Linked DNA regions of Schizosaccharomyces pombe. The gene in region 3 interacts genetically with the main gene of each other region. Each region holds a gene or a part of one and is shown on either strand. Other genes may lie near its edges.

Region 1 (4,777 bases), on a different chromosome or scaffold from region 3:
TATCAATACGAAAGGCTGTCAGGATAGTGATTCAGTGGAAAAGAAAAACTTAAATGGTTCTAATTAGATTAGTGGTTTTCCGCCTTATAATCTTTCGTCCTTTTCGAGGTGAAGTAATGCTGGGAAAAATAAAATCGTGCAGTGAAGAAGGTATTCGGGGTATGTTAAATGTGTTTGTTTAAATGCTTGTTGTTAATGTTTTTCTCCCAGTAACTATTAGCTTTTTTGACGATATTTTCATTCCGAAAGATATGCTTTTCGATCCATGTGTCTTTCGTCCGGATGAGCGTGCCTGGGTATGGAAAATTGAAGGGGAGGACGGCTCAGAGGGAACCGAATTGTATTTTGACATTGATGAAGAAATACGCTTTCAAATAGAATCTGAGGACTTTGTTGATATTTCACCTAAGAGGAATAAAAATGCAACCGCGATTACAGGCACAGAAGCATTGGAATCGGTATCCCCATATACATTGATTGTAAGTTTTTTTTTTTATGTTTAGGGCGAAACTTGTGTCATTATTTATGAAGGGTGCACCATCTATTTGCTAGTATACAAGAAAATATTTTCTGCTTCTCTCAAATCGATAGAATTTACTAACTATATATTTAGGCTTCCTGTTCTCGTGATGGACTGGGCATTCCTGCTTGGTGGAAATGAGCTATTGGATTCGAATCAAAGTCAAACAAAATTTAAAAGCATCAATTAATCATTTACTCCAAATTGTATAAGTAGACTTTCATTCATGTTCTATTTTTCTTCATCTAATGCATCACCAAAATTTCCCAAAAATCACGTGGTCTAGAAAATGGTTGCAATTCTATTCTGTACATTCATCCCGTCTTATAAATTTCATTGCCGAAGGTTTTTGCACAAACCTTTTGGGGTTTTATTATTTCGTTGGAGATACCTGTGTTGTTTTTAGACATGTCCTACTTAAAGGTTGCTTTTAGTGAAAAAGGGTTATTTATAAATCAACTACTTCTTTTTTTTTTTTTTTTTTTAGCTTTTCTCTATTTAAAGGTATATTATTGTATCGAAAAATCAGTTTGTTTACATCTTTGCACAGCAACACATAATGGTTATGAAAACGGCGTTCTTCAAAATTTACCTTCTTGGATGATCATGGTATTTGCTAACAGGGGGCTACTTTAATAAAGGTACTTTCATGTCAAGCTTAAATTTAATCTGGTTAAAAGAGTCATATGTTCTAAAACTTTATATTCAATCTAACAACTGAAGATTCCGCACTGCGTAAAGGAATTTTTCAATGTTAAACAAACGATCCATGCTATGTATGATTTGATTGATTTTGGTATTGTGTATACTAATGTTTAGTAGTATTACCGAATATGGAAAATTTAATTAATTACACAAAAGAGCCGATTCATTTTATAGCATAATAGAATATCAGTCTACTTTTTATGAACAATGTTTGCTTCTTCAGCAAAGAATGTCCATCGCCAACCCACGTTACTCTTTAGTACAGCCGATTTTCGTTATATGTCAGAAAATAGCAACCTTAACATTTCAGCGCCTTGCTATTTGCTATTTGAAAATGACCAACAGCAATTTGACAAACTTCTAATTTTGTTGTATTTGTGCACAAATGCATGGACGTTATAAAGGATTCTTTCGGCTACTGTACTACTTTAGGGATAAACGAATATTTTTGCAAAATTAAAAATACACATACCCACAAAATCATTCACTTTCTTACTTCTAGTACTATTATTAATTTACGGAAACATGCATTAAGCAGCTTTTATGAGTTCCTTAAGCCTCGATAGCTTTTGCTTTACAAACTTTAATGAAACTTAGCAAATCCACGTGATTTGCCCCTAAAATGAATAAAGTTATGCCACATATTTCGGAATCACAAGCAAAGCGCAAGCACTTGACAAAATTGCGTAACCGATTACGCCTTCGGAGCTGACGTGAGTTATCGACTGAATATAAACACCTTATGCTGCTAATTCTGATTAGTCGACTGTATTTGCAAATATTTTCTACATAGGCTTGTCTTCCGTTAATTCTATTTTGTACACTACACCATTCTTTTTAGACGACAGCCGGTAGACTAAATTGTGCTTGTTTCTTGAACAATTAAAGTACATTGAAGAGTGCATATAAAAGAAATAAAAAATTTTTTTTTTTCTTTTACTTCGCTTGAGTCAAAACAGACTAGCACTTATTCTAGTACACTTGAAAGGTGGTGCTTGTTTGACTACATTCTTTGATATTGTAATCAAAAATTTTTTTTTTAAAAATTCCTTTTCTCCTGATTTACTTATTGAGGTGTTAAATTCTTGAAATTTTAAACGCGTTTTTTCCGCTCAACCTCTGTTTTCTTGTGTTTTATTAGGCTACTTTTTGCCTCCTTTTTTTTTCCTTTACCTTTAAAAAAACACTTCTCTTTTGCATTTTTGCAACTAAAAATGTTGACCTTAAACTCAACAATCAAGTCGGTCACCGGCTCATTTCAGTCCGCTTCCATGTTGGCTCGATTCGCCTCTACCCATCACAAGGTTTTAGTAGTTGGTGGTGGATCCGCTGGTATATCCGTCGCCCATCAAATTTACAACAAGTTTTCTAAATACCGCTTTGCCAATGACCAAGGCAAAGATACATCCCTCAAACCCGGTGAAATTGGTATTGTGGATGGTGCCAAGTATCATTATTACCAACCTGGTTGGACTTTGACTGGTGCTGGATTGAGTTCTGTTGCTAAGACCAGACGAGAATTGGCTAGCCTGGTTCCTGCTGACAAATTTAAACTCCATCCTGAATTTGTTAAATCCTTACATCCTCGTGAAAACAAAATAGTTACTCAAAGTGGTCAAGAAATTAGCTATGATTATTTGGTTATGGCAGCTGGTATTTATACTGACTTTGGCAGAATCAAGGGTTTAACTGAGGCTTTGGATGACCCCAACACCCCTGTAGTTACTATCTATTCAGAAAAATATGCTGACGCTGTTTATCCTTGGATTGAAAAAACCAAGTCTGGAAATGCCATTTTTACTCAACCCAGCGGTGTCTTGAAGTGTGCCGGCGCTCCACAAAAGATTATGTGGATGGCTGAAGATTATTGGCGTCGTCATAAAGTTCGTTCCAATATTGATGTATCCTTCTACACTGGTATGCCTACTCTTTTCTCGGTTAAGCGCTATTCTGATGCCCTTCTTCGCCAAAATGAGCAATTACATCGCAATGTCAAGATTAATTATAAAGATGAGCTTGTTGAAGTTAAGGGATCTGAACGTAAAGCCGTATTTAAGAATTTAAACGATGGCTCTCTCTTCGAGCGTCCTTTTGATCTTTTGCATGCCGTCCCCTCTATGCGTTCTCATGAGTTTATCGCAAAGAGTGATTTGGCTGATAAATCTGGTTTTGTTGCTGTTGATCAATCTACTACACAATCGACCAAGTTCCCCAATGTTTTCGCTATCGGTGATTGCAGTGGTTTGCCAACTAGTAAGACTTACGCTGCCATTACTGCACAAGCTCCTGTTATGGTCCACAATCTTTGGAGTTTCGTTAATGGAAAGAATTTAACTGCATCATACAATGGTTACACTTCATGCCCGCTACTCACTGGCTATGGTAAGCTTATCTTGGCCGAATTCTTGTACAAACAAGAACCTAAAGAATCTTTCGGTCGCTTTTCTCGTTTCCTTGACCAAACTGTACCTCGTCGCATGTTTTATCACCTTAAGAAGGACTTCTTTCCTTTTGTTTACTGGAATTTCGCCGTCCGCAATGGTAAGTGGTATGGCAGCAGAGGTTTGATTCCTCCTCACTTTCCTGTTAATTAAAGATTCAATCATCTTTCTTGCGTAAAATAATGCAATCTGCTAGGCATGATTTAGTAGCAACCCTTATATAATTGAATGTTACCCCCTTTCCTTACCATACCTTTACTAGGTTTATCTTTGATTAGAAAAACAGTGTTGATTATTAAGTACTCTAAAGTTATGTACGTCTGTGAATGTTTGAATAAAGTTATTAAATAAATATCAACTTTTTACTTCTAATTTTAAATATGAATAAAAATAGTTTGTAATACATCAACTATAAACGCCAGTAAACTGCACTTACATTGACTAAAGTAGATGCAAAATTATTGTAATACTCTACTCACAATTCCAACTATATCGTCGAATATCATATATACAAAAATATATATATTTATGCATTCATATTTTGCTCACATTTATAGACTTACATTCAAATAAAGACAAAACACAATTCACTCATAACTACTTCCTTCCGCACGAATTGAATTCTAAGCCAGCAAATCAATCCTAAAAGAATCTAGAGAAAAAATGCTACTAAATTAGAAAGCACGGCGGACAGGGGAACGAATATAAGGGATATCCTTGTAAGCATCAACAGTCTTTTTGGCACGTTGAGCAACACCAGAGGTGGTGAAATGGAATTTCTCGTATAATTTGGGAGCAGGGCCAGAGTCACCAAAAGTGTGCATACCAAAGGCCTCGTGAACGTAACGTCTCCAACCATTGGTAGCCCAAACCTCGACGGACATAGCAGGAATACCGTCAGGAATGACAGAAAGACGGTAGCTTTCTGGTTGTTGTTCGAAAACTTCCCAGCAAGGCAATGAAACGACACGAGCCTTCAAGTTGTACTCGGTCTCAAGGGTCTTGACAGTGTCAATGCAAAGAGAGACTTCAGAACCAGTACCGACAAGAGTAATATCGGCCTCCTTGTTCTCCAACATGACATAACCACCCTTAAGAGCATTTTCAATAG
Region 2 (5,205 bases), on a different chromosome or scaffold from region 3:
ATTTATCACCATGTACGACGTGCATATAACCCGTTTGAAGATCGCTGTGTGTGGAGCAAAGAAGAAGATGAAGAATTAAGAAAGTATGTGTTTATATTTTTATTCAAAAATCATTAACGTTTAGAAATGTTGTTGAACATGGTAAATGCTGGACGAAAATTGGTCGTAAAATGGCTCGAATGCCTAATGATTGTCGTGATCGTTGGCGCGACGTAGTACGTTTTGGCGATAAATTGAAACGAAATGCTTGGTCGTTGGAAGAGGAAACTCAGTTATTGCAAATAGTTGCTGAACTCCGTAACCGTGAAGACTTAAGTTCTGACATTAATTGGACGCTTGTTGCCCAAATGTTAGGTACTAGGACTCGTTTACAGTGTCGTTATAAATTTCAGCAATTGACGAAGGCTGCTTCAAAATTTGAACTTCAAGAAAACGTTTGGCTCTTAGAAAGGTAAGTATTGACCTACATAATTTCTCTTGCTTGCTAATATTTTAATTTAAGGATTTACGACTCGTTATTGAACAATGGTGGTAAAATTCATTGGGAAAATATCGTAAAAGAAGCTAATGGACGATGGACACGCGATCAGATGTTGTTTCAATTTATAAATTTGAAAAAAATGATACCAAGTTACGACAATCTTCCTCTTCTAGAAGCCACGAAGTCAGCCATTGATGACTTTAAAGTGGTACTTTCTGGATTCTCCAATTGACGTCCTTACAATTTTTTGAACGAAAAAATTTGTTTTAACTTACTTAAGTAACTTTGTATCTTTTTACAAGTCCTTATTAAAATGACTTAATTCTTAACGCAACACCTTCATACTGAGGATATGTAAAGTCGCCTTACTACTACCGCTCTTTGCATTTCTAGTTATTGGCGAATAGTTTTTGGAAGAATTCATAATTTCCTTAGCAATAGAGGATTTTTTGTAAATTAATAATTAAAATTGAATTGTTTGCTAATTCCGTATGAATAAATTCCAACTACCAAAAACTTTAAAGTCTTTATGGCATCACCCACATAATGGAGAGTTAATAAGCATAAACGGCTGGGTACGATCTATCCGAAAACTAAAAAATGTTTGTTTTGCCATGGTTTCTGATGGTACATGTCAACAAGCCCTTCAAGTGGTGACTTCGCCTGAACAGAGTAAGAAGTATGGTTGAGGAGGAGACATAAAATCTAAATTATATGATATCTTTTTCCTACTAACATTAATTTATTATCAAGGCTATCATATGGTGCTAGTGTGAATATTGAAGGCCAGTTGGCAGTTTCTAAAAACGCAAAACTTGGATTGCAGCAGTATGAACTGTTGGCTGAGAAAATAAAAATTTACGGCCAGATAAATGATGATGTATGTGCTTTCAAAATTGAATATACTGCAAGTCTATCGCCATAGAATTAAATTCTAATCCGGAATATAGAACTACCCTATTCAGAAAAAACATTTGACTACTGAAATGTTACGACAAATACCCCATCTTCGATTACGAACAGCAAAACAAGGGGAGATTTTTCGTCTCCGTTCAGATTCATTAAAAGCATTGCGACAATTTTTTTCAAGCAAAGATTTTACAGAGACCAACCCCCCGATAATAACTTCTTCTGATTGTGAAGGAGCTGGTGAAGTATTTACCTTGACCCCCCAGGAGACGCATAAAAATAAAAGTTTTGAAAGAGATGATCAAAAGCATTTTTTTGACCGACCTGCATTTTTAACTGTATCCACTCAATTGCATCTAGAGGCTCTAGCATTAGGACTGTCCAGAGTGTATACTATATCGCCAGCATTTAGAGCAGAACAAAGTCATACTAGTCGACATTTGGCAGAATTTTGGATGCTGGAAGCAGAAGTTGCGTTCATGACTTCGCTTTCACAACTAACATCACTTATGGAGGATATGATTAAATATACTCTTAATTCATTGATGGAGCAGAACTATCACAGAGATCATTGGGACCAACTGCTTAAACCGTGGAAATGCATGACATATTCTGAAGCAATAGAAGAATTAAGCGCTGTGAAAAAAACATGGAAATACCCTCCTAAATGGGGAAACGATTTAAGTAGTGAACATGAAAAATATCTTTGTGAAATCTTACATAAAACTCCGGTATTCGTGACGGACTATCCACAAAAAATTAAACCGTTTTATATGAAATCCTCTGGGCCCGATACAGTTGCTGCTGTTGATTTACTCGTTCCACAGGTGGGTGAACTTGCTGGAGGTTCTTTACGTAAAGACCATTTAGATGAGTATAAAACTTACCCACCAGAACTTCAATGGTATTTAGACCTAATGAAGTACAGCAATGCGCCACACGGAGGGTTTGGCTTAGGGATAGAACGACTGATTGCTTTTCTAGAAGGAGAAAACACGAACGTAAAAGAAACTATACCCTTCCCCCGTTCAGTAGGATCCATTTTTGCATGATTTATGAAAGATCTTCTATCTTACCTTTGGCGTAAAGATAGGTTGTACATCGAACTAATGAATTATAAGCCGTTTTGTCCCCGGTTCTCAACAGCTTGGCGGCATCTACATTTAATGGAGAACTAGCATCGTAATTACTTAAAAGAGAGATAATTGCTAAACAAGCAGATTGTAGACTCCAGGCCGGCGACCAATGTGTCTTTAATATGTCCATACATACTTCGCCGTTCTACCATTGACGTTAGCTAATGAATGTAATCTAAAAAACTCTATTTAAATTGGCTTACCGTCCATGAAATATTCGGATGTACAATTTTTGTTTGAAAATACACAGACGGGGGACTAATAGGATACCCTTCGTGAACATGAATATCGAGAACCCATTGCCCCCCTTCATACGGTGTTTCAGTAGGTCCTTCAATGACTGCCTTCCAATGGAACATATCAACATCAGTGACCGGTTTTAAAAGTAAGAGACCAGATATATCTCCAGCCTGGAAACTGGCATATTCTTTGTGAAGTCGTTTAATTGAACTATTCATTTGTCAAGATTCATAACACTCGTTTCTATTTTAGGTTCTAGCATGCATCAACTCTAGATAGCAAAGCTTGTCAATCTAAGAAGATTTAAATTTTCAAGGATTACCGGTTTCGCAGGTGTTGCTGGAAGCAAACAAAACCAGGTGTACTCACTAAGTTGTGTAAAAAGAAGTTAATACATAAATGCACTCAAAGCGATCCTTAATTAGCCTTATTCAACGGAAGGTAACCGAAATTTGATTAAGGCTCAGTGGCATAGTAAAGAAATGTTAGTGTTTTATTTGAAATTCGTCTTTAGTTCGTTACAACACGGTAAGCATCAATATTTGATTTAAAGAAATAAAAGTCAGATTGCATTACAGGTAATACAAGTTTTGGAGCTGATTATTAAAAATAAACGATGAAGTAAACAACATCTTATTCCTAACTTTCGTATTTTATTTGACTTTGCAGAATTTTCATTTCTAGATAATCATATAGAATTGCAGACATGAAATCACTCAGTTACATACCAAGGCTCGCAAGCGCATATTACTCGGATTCAATGACAAAGTTTATTCATTAAAAGAATGCGTAAATAATTTCGAATAACAAGATTTATAATATTTAACGTACAGAATCTACCAATACAAAGTAAACACACCAATATCATGATAGTATTAACTTAACGCTAAATCGAAAGGGATTTTAAGGAGAAACAGAAGCCAACTCATGAACATAAGTACAGAAAAGTTTTATGCCCTTAAGGAAGTTATCAAGGTCTAATTTCTCATTGATACTGTGGGCACCGTCATCACCACGGCCCATAGGCAACAACAAAACATTTTTCTTCAAAGATTGCTCAAAAGTAACAGTTACTGGAATAGAACCGCCTTCACGAACGAAATCTGGGGTTATACCGTAAACACGCTCAGTGGCTTTTTTACCGACATCATAATGCCAGTGGTCAGGAGAAGAAATCCACCAACTTCCAGAGTGCATGTTGTTAAAAGCGAGCTTGTTTTTCGAGTTCAAAGAGTTGAAAACCTTTGTTACATGTTCTTTAACAAGTCGTTCAACAGTTTCTGACTCCATATTGGGGACGGTGCGAATGGAAAATTTACCAATAACTTTCGCGGGAATAACCGTTTTAGCACCACTGCCACTAAAGGCACCTTCAATACCATGAAGTGAAAGTGTAGGATATCTCCAGCGATGTTGAAGTGTTCTCTTGGGATCGGGATAAATAGAAATATCAGCACCGACCGCCTCTTTCAAATCTTCCATTGTATAATCAATTCCATCATAAATACTATCCTCGGTAGGTGTGAGTTCTGCTACTTGGTCCATGATACCAGGAATCAAAATTTCACCATTGGGTTTAACTAAAGTACTCATGATAGCAACTAAGTCCGTCATAGGCTCATGCACAGTACCGCCAAAAACGCCAGAGTGCAGATCAGCAGATGGTCCTTCGACAGTAATATTAAAGTAACAAACACCACGGAGGCCGTAAGTTAAAACTGGCTTTTTGGTACCCAACCAATAAGTATCGCTGATGCAAACACAATCTGCTTTAGCAAAGTACTTTTCAGCTTCTGCACGAATTAAATCTTCTAAACCTTCACTGCCGTATTCCTCCATTCCTTCAAAACACATGAGTAAGTTTACTGGAAAATCAATACCAAGTTCTTTGTGAGCTTCAATGGCCGAAATCCATCCAATGAGCGGTCCTTTATCATCAGTAGCACCGCGACCAAACATGCGTCCTTTATTGTCAACTGTCAACGTGAAAGGGTCAGTACTCCATCCATCTTCTAATGAAGCCGGCTGAACATCAAAGTGATTATAAATTAAAACAGTCTTTTTAGAAGGGTCATTTCCGTATTGACCGAGAACAATAGGTGGCAGAGGAACGTCTTGTCCATCCATTTGATGATAACCAATATCACGCTTCTCCATCTTGGCTCCCAACTTTGTGAACTCACTAACCACAAAGTCAGCCATCTCTACAACTTTGGGACGAAGCGTTACATCGGCAGAGACAGAAGGTATAGAAACTGCCCGTGAAAGCCTAGTAACAAACTCATCCTTCTTCTTATCTATACTATAAAGTGTTAGGCATGTCGCTTTCTGAAATCTGCAATAAAATAAAGAAATAAGACTTGCCTCTGGCAATTCTGAACAACTGTCTACTTTTCTTTAATTTCTTCAAGAAAGATCCTTACTTACACTTCGTATAAC
Region 3 (7,392 bases):
TAATCATTATTAAAATTCAAATTCATAGAAAAGGCTTTATCTCAGTTTGCGCATTGCAAAATAAAGTAACGGGATACTTTTAGTACCATCACCGTTTTTTTTGTGTTACTGGTAGCTGTAATTTGTTTTAGTTGTTGCTTTAAATGATAAAGAATAATGAAATCCTTAATTTTGAACCATGGCAATAAACAAAGGAATGGAAATTATTTTCAATCTCTAATTTCGAAATTAACATCCCTATAACCCATCGTTTTAGTTTTACCATTTGCTAACCTTACCCAACCTTCGAGACGTATTTTAATCGGCTTCAAAGGCTACAAATTTTTACTTATTTATATTAAAATGGAAATAGAGTACGAAAATGAATATGTTCATCAAGTATATGATAAGATTGCAACACATTTCTCAGATACTCGATACAAGGTAAGTTAATACAACGATATTTAATTAAAGCTAATCAGTCATTTTGTAGCCATGGCCAGTGGTTGAAAAATTTTTAAAATCTTTGCCTTTGGGCTCTGTAGGAGTAGACATTGGGTGCGGAAATGGCAAATACCAAAAGGTTAACCCAAATGTTTACATGATAGGAAGCGATCGTTGCGTAAAACTTGTTAAAATAGCAAGCAATCTAGGTCCTATGGTTATTTCTGATGGCCTGCACGTACCTCATCCAAGCAATCGGTTTGATTTTGCCTTAAGCATAGCTGTAATCCATCATTTCAGCAATGAAAACCGAAGGTTGCAAGCTGTTCAGGAAGTTTTAAGACCATTAGTAAAAGGAGGGAAAGCACTATTTTTTGTTTGGGCTTTAGAACAAAAGAATTCAAGGCGTGGTTTTTCAGAAGACGGACCGCAGGACGTTTATGTTCCTTGGATATTAAAAAGGCAATATGAGTATCCAAATGCAAAGCCGGAGGAATTAAAGGGGCACGATCCTGCTGAAAATATTGCGTATCAACGTTACTACCATTTATTTCGCAAGGGTGAATTAAATGAGTTAGTAGAGACCGCAGGCGGCTCAATATTGGAACATGGCTACGACCGTGATAACTGGTGGGTAATTGCTGAAAAAAACTAAGTTTTGGAATGAAAATTGATCGTCATATCACCTTGATAGAACAGATTTTTCATCTTTCTTGAACTTGTTCTCAAAAAGTTGGAATATTTCTATTTTACCTTAATTACATAGTTTAAACTATTTTCGTTCGGAAAATGATTTTACAGATTTTTTTTTTTAATCTAACTGGTAGAAGAATTTCTGTGTTTTATGTCTCGATTATTAATTTACTGCGTTTAATTATAAAATGAAGCGATGAACTAGTCATTCCCAAGGGCGAAAAGCGGTCAAATGTACTTGTTTTCAAAAAAAAAATTGACGGTTTCTTAGTATGACAATAGTGATAATTTGATATCGATTGAAGTGGTTTTCTGTTAAATGATACTATACATCTGTGAATGGGTTGGAAATTAAAATGTTAATCTAATTTTTGTTAATAGTTTATTCACGTAGGTTAGTGAAATGACGGTTCAAAGGTTGCATAAGTATTGGAAATCGATGAAGTATGTCAAGCAAAAACATTTTGTAAAATGAATAAATTTCAAAAAAAAAATATTTTTTTTTAGAATAATTTGGAATAATCATGCATTTCTGTATATGTTAAACTTTTAATATAAATCTGTGCTTGAGTATGAAATGAATTATCTAAAAAACAGTGTTTGAATAAACGTGTCCCAATAATAATGATAAATTGTAAAAAATATGTAGGAATTATACAAAATTTATTAAGCCACAAATAGGAATAGTAATTAACGTACAAAATTTGATTTGAATTTAATAATTTAAATGCGACTAAGTTACTTGCTTTTCTATTTACCAAAACGAATTCCAAAGAGAAAAAAATAAGCAATTAATAGTTTGGCAAAACACTTACTGCATGAATTAAATTAATAATCCGACATGCATTAATAAATTCTTGGTTGCTAAATTCAAATAAAGAAGTAATCAGCAGTTCTTTGCTCCTTAGTCGAATGATTACTTTTTTTCTATTCCATTCACCTTCTATTTCGTATTTGTTATATTCATAAAGTCTAGGAAAAATATAAAAAGATTTCCAAGATCCTAATTATCTATTTAAAATTATTATGTTGATATATCGTCGCGTAATATAATTAAATCTTTTTTTATCGAAACCTCAACAAGCTTTGGTGGTTTAGTGGTATAATGAATCGTTGCCATCGATTCGACCCGGGTTCGATTCCCGGCCAAAGCATTATTTTTTACCAAAACAATTTTTGGATTTATTTTGATTTGTTTGAATTCAAGCACGTGGTACTCTGGATACCTAAAATATGTACAACTATAGATTCCAGTAATATATATATTGCAAATGACTGAACTCAATTCTTCAGGCGCTATACTGTGAATGCAATGTTTCTACGATTTTTTGCCATGAAAAATAACGATGCTTATTTACCACGATTCAAAGTAACTAAGCGTTTGGTTATATTCGCTTGGAATACCAATCTACATTACAATGAGGAGGCAATAATTGCTATGATATAAAGCTATTGTCAGAACCAAAAAGTCCTGAGTTTATGGGAAAGAGTGAGCTTACTAGTTATGTAAGATATTACACTCTCTATCACAAAAAAAAGCAAGTATGCGGTAACAATTCTTCGATTCCATGACTCTTTTTAATTGGCAAGTTGTTGTGCTTCTTCCGTCGGTCTAAAACAACTAAATTCTTATTTATTGACATCTTTAAGACCAAAATAGTCGCTTGTCAAATTCGTTACTTCCAAGTGCCACCATGTGCTTGTTACTTAAGAAAAATTTAGACAGTCACACGCTCCTATTTATTAAGGAAGTGTAGTCAGGTTAGCGAGAAAAAGTACATTTTTTCTGTTTTTTTTTATTTTTCTTAATTTTCTTTAATAATTTTTTTTAATTGTAAAGGAGTTGTTAAGATGGAGTCTGAATCTGTTCCCACCGTTCCTCAAACCACTCGTCCCGGTCCTCGATGCTATAACTGTGGTGAAAACGGTCATCAAGCTCGTGAGTGCACCAAGGGTTCAATCTGCTACAATTGCAATCAGACCGGTCACAAGGCTAGCGAATGCACTGAGCCTCAACAGGAAAAAACTTGCTATGCTTGTGGTACCGCCGGACATCTCGTTCGTGATTGCCCCAGCAGCCCTAACCCCCGTCAAGGTGCGGAATGTTACAAGTGTGGTCGTGTTGGTCACATTGCTAGAGACTGTCGTACAAATGGTCAACAAAGTGGCGGACGATTTGGTGGTCATCGCTCCAACATGAATTGCTATGCTTGTGGCTCTTATGGCCATCAAGCCCGTGATTGCACTATGGGCGTGAAATGCTACTCTTGTGGTAAGATTGGACACCGCAGCTTTGAATGTCAACAAGCTTCAGATGGTCAACTTTGTTACAAGTGTAATCAACCAGGCCACATCGCCGTCAATTGCACCTCTCCTGTAATTGAGGCATAAGTGCTTGCTATTTATAACCCTTTGTCGTGGTATGAAGATATTTTTTCTTTTTCTTGTCCGATTTATTCAAATTTGGCAAGTGGTCATATTCTTACAAATCCCTTGAGCGATCTGCGCATTTAGTTATATAGAAAGCATAATTTTACATCCTTCTCTTCGTCCTTATTTTTTCGCACACTTCTGAATTCATTTTTGCTTCGGATCCTTAAGGATATTTGTACTGAAGCCTGAGATGCACCACCTCATTTCTCTCCTGTTTTCTCGTCACCGCTAAAAGATGGATGTTGATAGATTAAATCCTTTTTGTTTCAGTTTATTTTTACTGTTGTAGTGGCATTTTTTTCCTATTATTTTCAATTCACGAGCTTGAAATAAAAAAATTTGGAATATGGGAATTCTATAAATGATAGAAATTCCTTGGTCCATTTGGATGATTTGTTTTTTTTAGTGCCATTATTTAATGGAACTTTTGGTTTTATATGACAACTCACTATCAATTTCATTTACGAAATGGGTTTTGGCGTTTTCGTATTTTTTGAGTAACTTAATTTACCTTATGTGTTTGTACAGTAAATGTTAATGCTCTGACTTATTAACAACTTCTCTACTTCTTAATCTCTCATGGTATCTGTATAACAATATTTACAAAAGGGTTCTGGGTCATTTGCCTAATTAATATTATTTTTTCCTTGCATTGCTTACTCTGCTTTTCAAAAATGAACTGTAATTGAAAACGGGTGAACGATAAATGTAACAGTTGTCATAGACAAAAAAAAATTTATTAACTTCAATTTTACTTTCATACAAATTTGACATCGAATTTGTCTATTACATAAAATCGTAGTATATTAATCCAAAATTTTATTGTTCACATAACTCAGCCAACTGCGCTCGAAACAAACGAAATAAACTTCTTGCAAATTCACCTTGAGAATGGTAAATACTCTTGAACGCTTTCTCTTCATCCCTAGCCAATTGAACATGCTCCGATAACCAAGAGGGGAATTTTTGACCAGGCCTGCTTATATATCCCACCCCTAAACGATCTTTCATAACATCAAATTTGTATCTACTTACAGGTTCATAAAAGTCAATGATTGCTTCTAAGCATTGATCACATATATTGGTAGCAACAGAAGGCCGGTAAAATGAGGTAATGCAATCTTTAAACTTAGTTAACTTCGGTATTCTATTGCAAAGCACACAACGGCCTACAAGATTGCATGCTAGCTCTATATATGTAGACTCATCGCATGACTGTGTTCCATCTCCTGTTTGGATGATCGAGGAGGCTAACGAAGAAGTATCAGAATGAATTGTCTTTGCTGCATAACTTTGATAACTTGGATCAAGAAAAATTGGAATGATTGTAGGGATATCGGTAAATTTGGCCACAGCACTTGTGTTTATAGACTCAGAGCAAGTTACAGCCGAATTTGGATTTTTTTTATGCACCTTAAGTAATCGTTTCCAAAATGAAACATTTCGAGGGCTGAGAATCTTTTTAAAACGTAAACATGTATTGGGGAGGTCATGGATAAGGGTATGTCGTTGTTTTCTATATGAAAATGCAAAGGGTAACTTCTCTATGTATGAAGCATCATAGCAATATGAAAAAATCAGCTGTAAAATTTCATCCGGACAATCCAAAATTTTTGCATACTTAGGACTCTCAGATGAGTATCTATAATATAAATTTGACTTAGGTGAAGCAACAGTTAAATTTAATGAAGAGTCAAGATTATCGCTACTTGGTATTTTTCTGAAAGGCAGGACTTGGGTAGTATACTCGGCATAATCATTAATCAATTCTAGAAGATTTCTACTTAGTGAGCATTTATCAAGTAGACCTTCATAATCAATCATTGCTGAAGCATGCGAATCTCCATCAACAACCAACGTATTCCAGACACCATTCCAATTGTCTTCTTCATCAAAATTAGAACAGATCGAAACCAATCGCTTCATGGCTCTTACTCTTGCTAAACAATGCACAAATTCATCAAATGTTTGAGGCTTGAAATATGAGCTTCTTATTTTTTTGCGAGTATCGATTAGTATTCTTAAAAACGATTCATCTTGATCCAAGTGCTCATTCACGCTGGTATTCATATAGCATGTATGCGTTTTGCAATTTTGAAATGAAAATTGAAGCATTTAGTTTGATTAAGTAGTAGTACCCATATACAGTTCGTTGATGGTGATGTTGGCTGACTGCAAGCTCAATTTGCCGGTTATCAACATTGCATAATTATACATCACATGGTTACTTACTCATACCGGCCTGAGAATTAGGTGAATAAAAACCTATATAGAAAACAGAAGTTTTATAATAAAAACTAGTGGTATACTTCGCATATTATACTAATGTGGATCGAATTTAATTCTTTGTGTGAAAGACGTAACATTGGTGTTATCAGATCAGATAAGACAAATTGATCAAACCCCCCGGCGGGGGGGGGGAAACTTGGTGCTTTGAATTTCATTATTGAGATTTTTGCTTTGCAAATTTAAAGAATTGTGAATGAAAGAGTTTTATTTATTATTAACGACGTGTAGCTGAATTGCATAACTTTAAGCTTGATTTAAAAATTTGCTATTTAAAGTTGATATAGTTCGAGTAAAAAAAATAAACTAACAAAGGTACCTCAAAATTTTACATACTTTACTATTGCTAGTAAAAATGACAAGCATAAACACCTACGGTTTATAAAGTCAACAATATATATATATAAGATAAGGATAAGTAATTAAACTTCTACATCGCTGAGACGTACGCAGTTGAAACGTTTTAACATAATCAGATCATTGAAAGTAAATATTTTACTCTTTATTTTGCTCATATATGAAAAAGGCGATTTTAAAATCGGATGCAAATTTTTTTTAAATCGAGTAGATATTTCAGCATCATTGAATAAAATTCTGAAACATCCATTCATACTTTTCAACATTTAATTATAAAAAAGTTTGGTTCGTAATCACTGAAACGTAGAAGCAGGATAAATTTAAATTATCCTTGAAGCTTTTTTAAAGAAATAAGAAAAATATCCTATTTGGGATAATTAGACGGCTCAAACACTAAGGATTAAAGTTTATTACAATTAGCATTTGTAGTATACAGAATGCTATATGTTAAGGAAAAAGAACGAAATTAAATGAATTTGGAGGTCATGAGGCACGCAACATTCGATCAGGTTAAATAAACAATAAGGAATAAGAAGAACTCCCTATAAAAATAAATATTTCGGTTTCCTTTATTTACGTTGTTACAGTGAAAAATGAAGAATTTGCAACAAAAAAAAACTTTAACTTAGTACTTTTTAAAACGTGATATTCTCATCGTCATCAACCTCTAAACTTTGTAGCCTAGCATGTACGAAATCTGGTGCAGAGGGAACGCGTTGAGTTTCTGAGTCTTTTAGGTCAGTCATTTGAGCCTCTTCAGCGACGTTGTTAGTATCATGGTCCGTAAGGGCGGTAGTTAAATCTGCGGGTTGATCAGGTGGTAACTCAAAACCATCCTCAGTAGAATAAAGTATTGCTTGAATACGCTCCAACATATTTTCCATTGACATAGGAGAAGTGGTCAAATGAGTTTGTACAAGTATTTCAATTTCTCGAAGCTTGTTAAAATAGAAATCACGTTCTCTCTCCAAACCAAACATCGTCTCATTAACTTCGTACAACTGTGTTTCAAGACTAGTGATTTGTTGTTGTGCTTGCTTTGCCCTTAACACTGCCGCAGTATTTGCAGTCGAAGACACGTTATTGTTGTTTGCTGATGACTTAGTCATTGAAGGTGTAGAACTACCAGAAGAAACCTGACGGCGACGAGAAGGGCCAGTTGCTCCTGCAGAGGAATTCATAACACGAGTGTTAGCAGGT

Evidence for each region. Genes that interact genetically often act in the same process or in processes that back each other up.
Region 1: mutations in pof14 (region 3) and hmt2 together harm fitness more than expected from each alone (negative genetic interaction), as found in Schizosaccharomyces pombe (one large-scale study listed by BioGRID).
Region 2: mutations in pof14 (region 3) and ubc16 together harm fitness more than expected from each alone (negative genetic interaction), as found in Schizosaccharomyces pombe (one large-scale study listed by BioGRID).

The regions. Positions count from the first base shown.
Region 1 is NC_003423.3:2,588,142-2,592,918, reverse strand, and holds hmt2 (sulfide-quinone oxidoreductase), read left to right. Parts: upstream 1-1,985; 5' UTR 1,986-2,439; coding exon 2,440-3,819; 3' UTR 3,820-3,915; downstream 3,916-4,777. Other genes in the region: DNA-directed RNA polymerase III complex subunit Rpc25, read left to right, coding at 73-159, 211-479, 614-661; tkt1 (transketolase), read right to left, coding at 4,341-4,777. UniProt on the Schizosaccharomyces pombe protein: Catalyzes the oxidation of hydrogen sulfide, with the help of a quinone.
Region 2 is NC_003423.3:187,444-192,648, reverse strand, and holds ubc16 (ubiquitin conjugating enzyme Ubc16), read right to left. Parts: upstream 3,243-5,205; 5' UTR 2,985-3,242; coding exon 2,730-2,984; exon of another isoform or gene 2,672-2,729; coding exon 2,444-2,671; 3' UTR 2,443-2,443; coding exon of another isoform or gene 1,432-2,442; 3' UTR 1,362-1,431; coding exon of another isoform or gene 1,235-1,361; 3' UTR 1,161-1,234; coding exon of another isoform or gene 973-1,160; 3' UTR 863-972; downstream 1-862. Other genes in the region: RNA polymerase I transcription termination factor/ RNA polymerase II transcription factor Reb1, read left to right, coding at 1-83, 125-451, 503-713; asparagine--tRNA (Asn) ligase Slm5, read left to right, coding at 973-1,160, 1,235-1,361, 1,432-2,442; dipeptidase Dug1, read right to left, coding at 3,670-5,068, 5,194-5,205. UniProt on the Schizosaccharomyces pombe protein: Catalyzes the covalent attachment of ubiquitin to other proteins.
Region 3 is NC_003424.3:2,244,058-2,251,449, reverse strand, and holds pof14 (F-box protein Pof14), read right to left. Parts: upstream 5,716-7,392; 5' UTR 5,665-5,715; coding exon 4,369-5,664; 3' UTR 4,322-4,368; downstream 1-4,321. Other genes in the region: tRNA (uridine) methyltransferase trm9, read left to right, coding at 343-423, 473-1,078; byr3 (translational activator, zf-CCHC type zinc finger protein), read left to right, coding at 2,968-3,507; microtubule plus-end binding protein, EB1 family Mal3, read right to left, coding at 6,828-7,392. UniProt on the Schizosaccharomyces pombe protein: Expression is induced during oxidative stress. Plays an essential, SCF-independent, role in the stress response to hydrogen peroxide for survival, by negatively regulating ergosterol synthesis via direct binding to the squalene synthase erg9.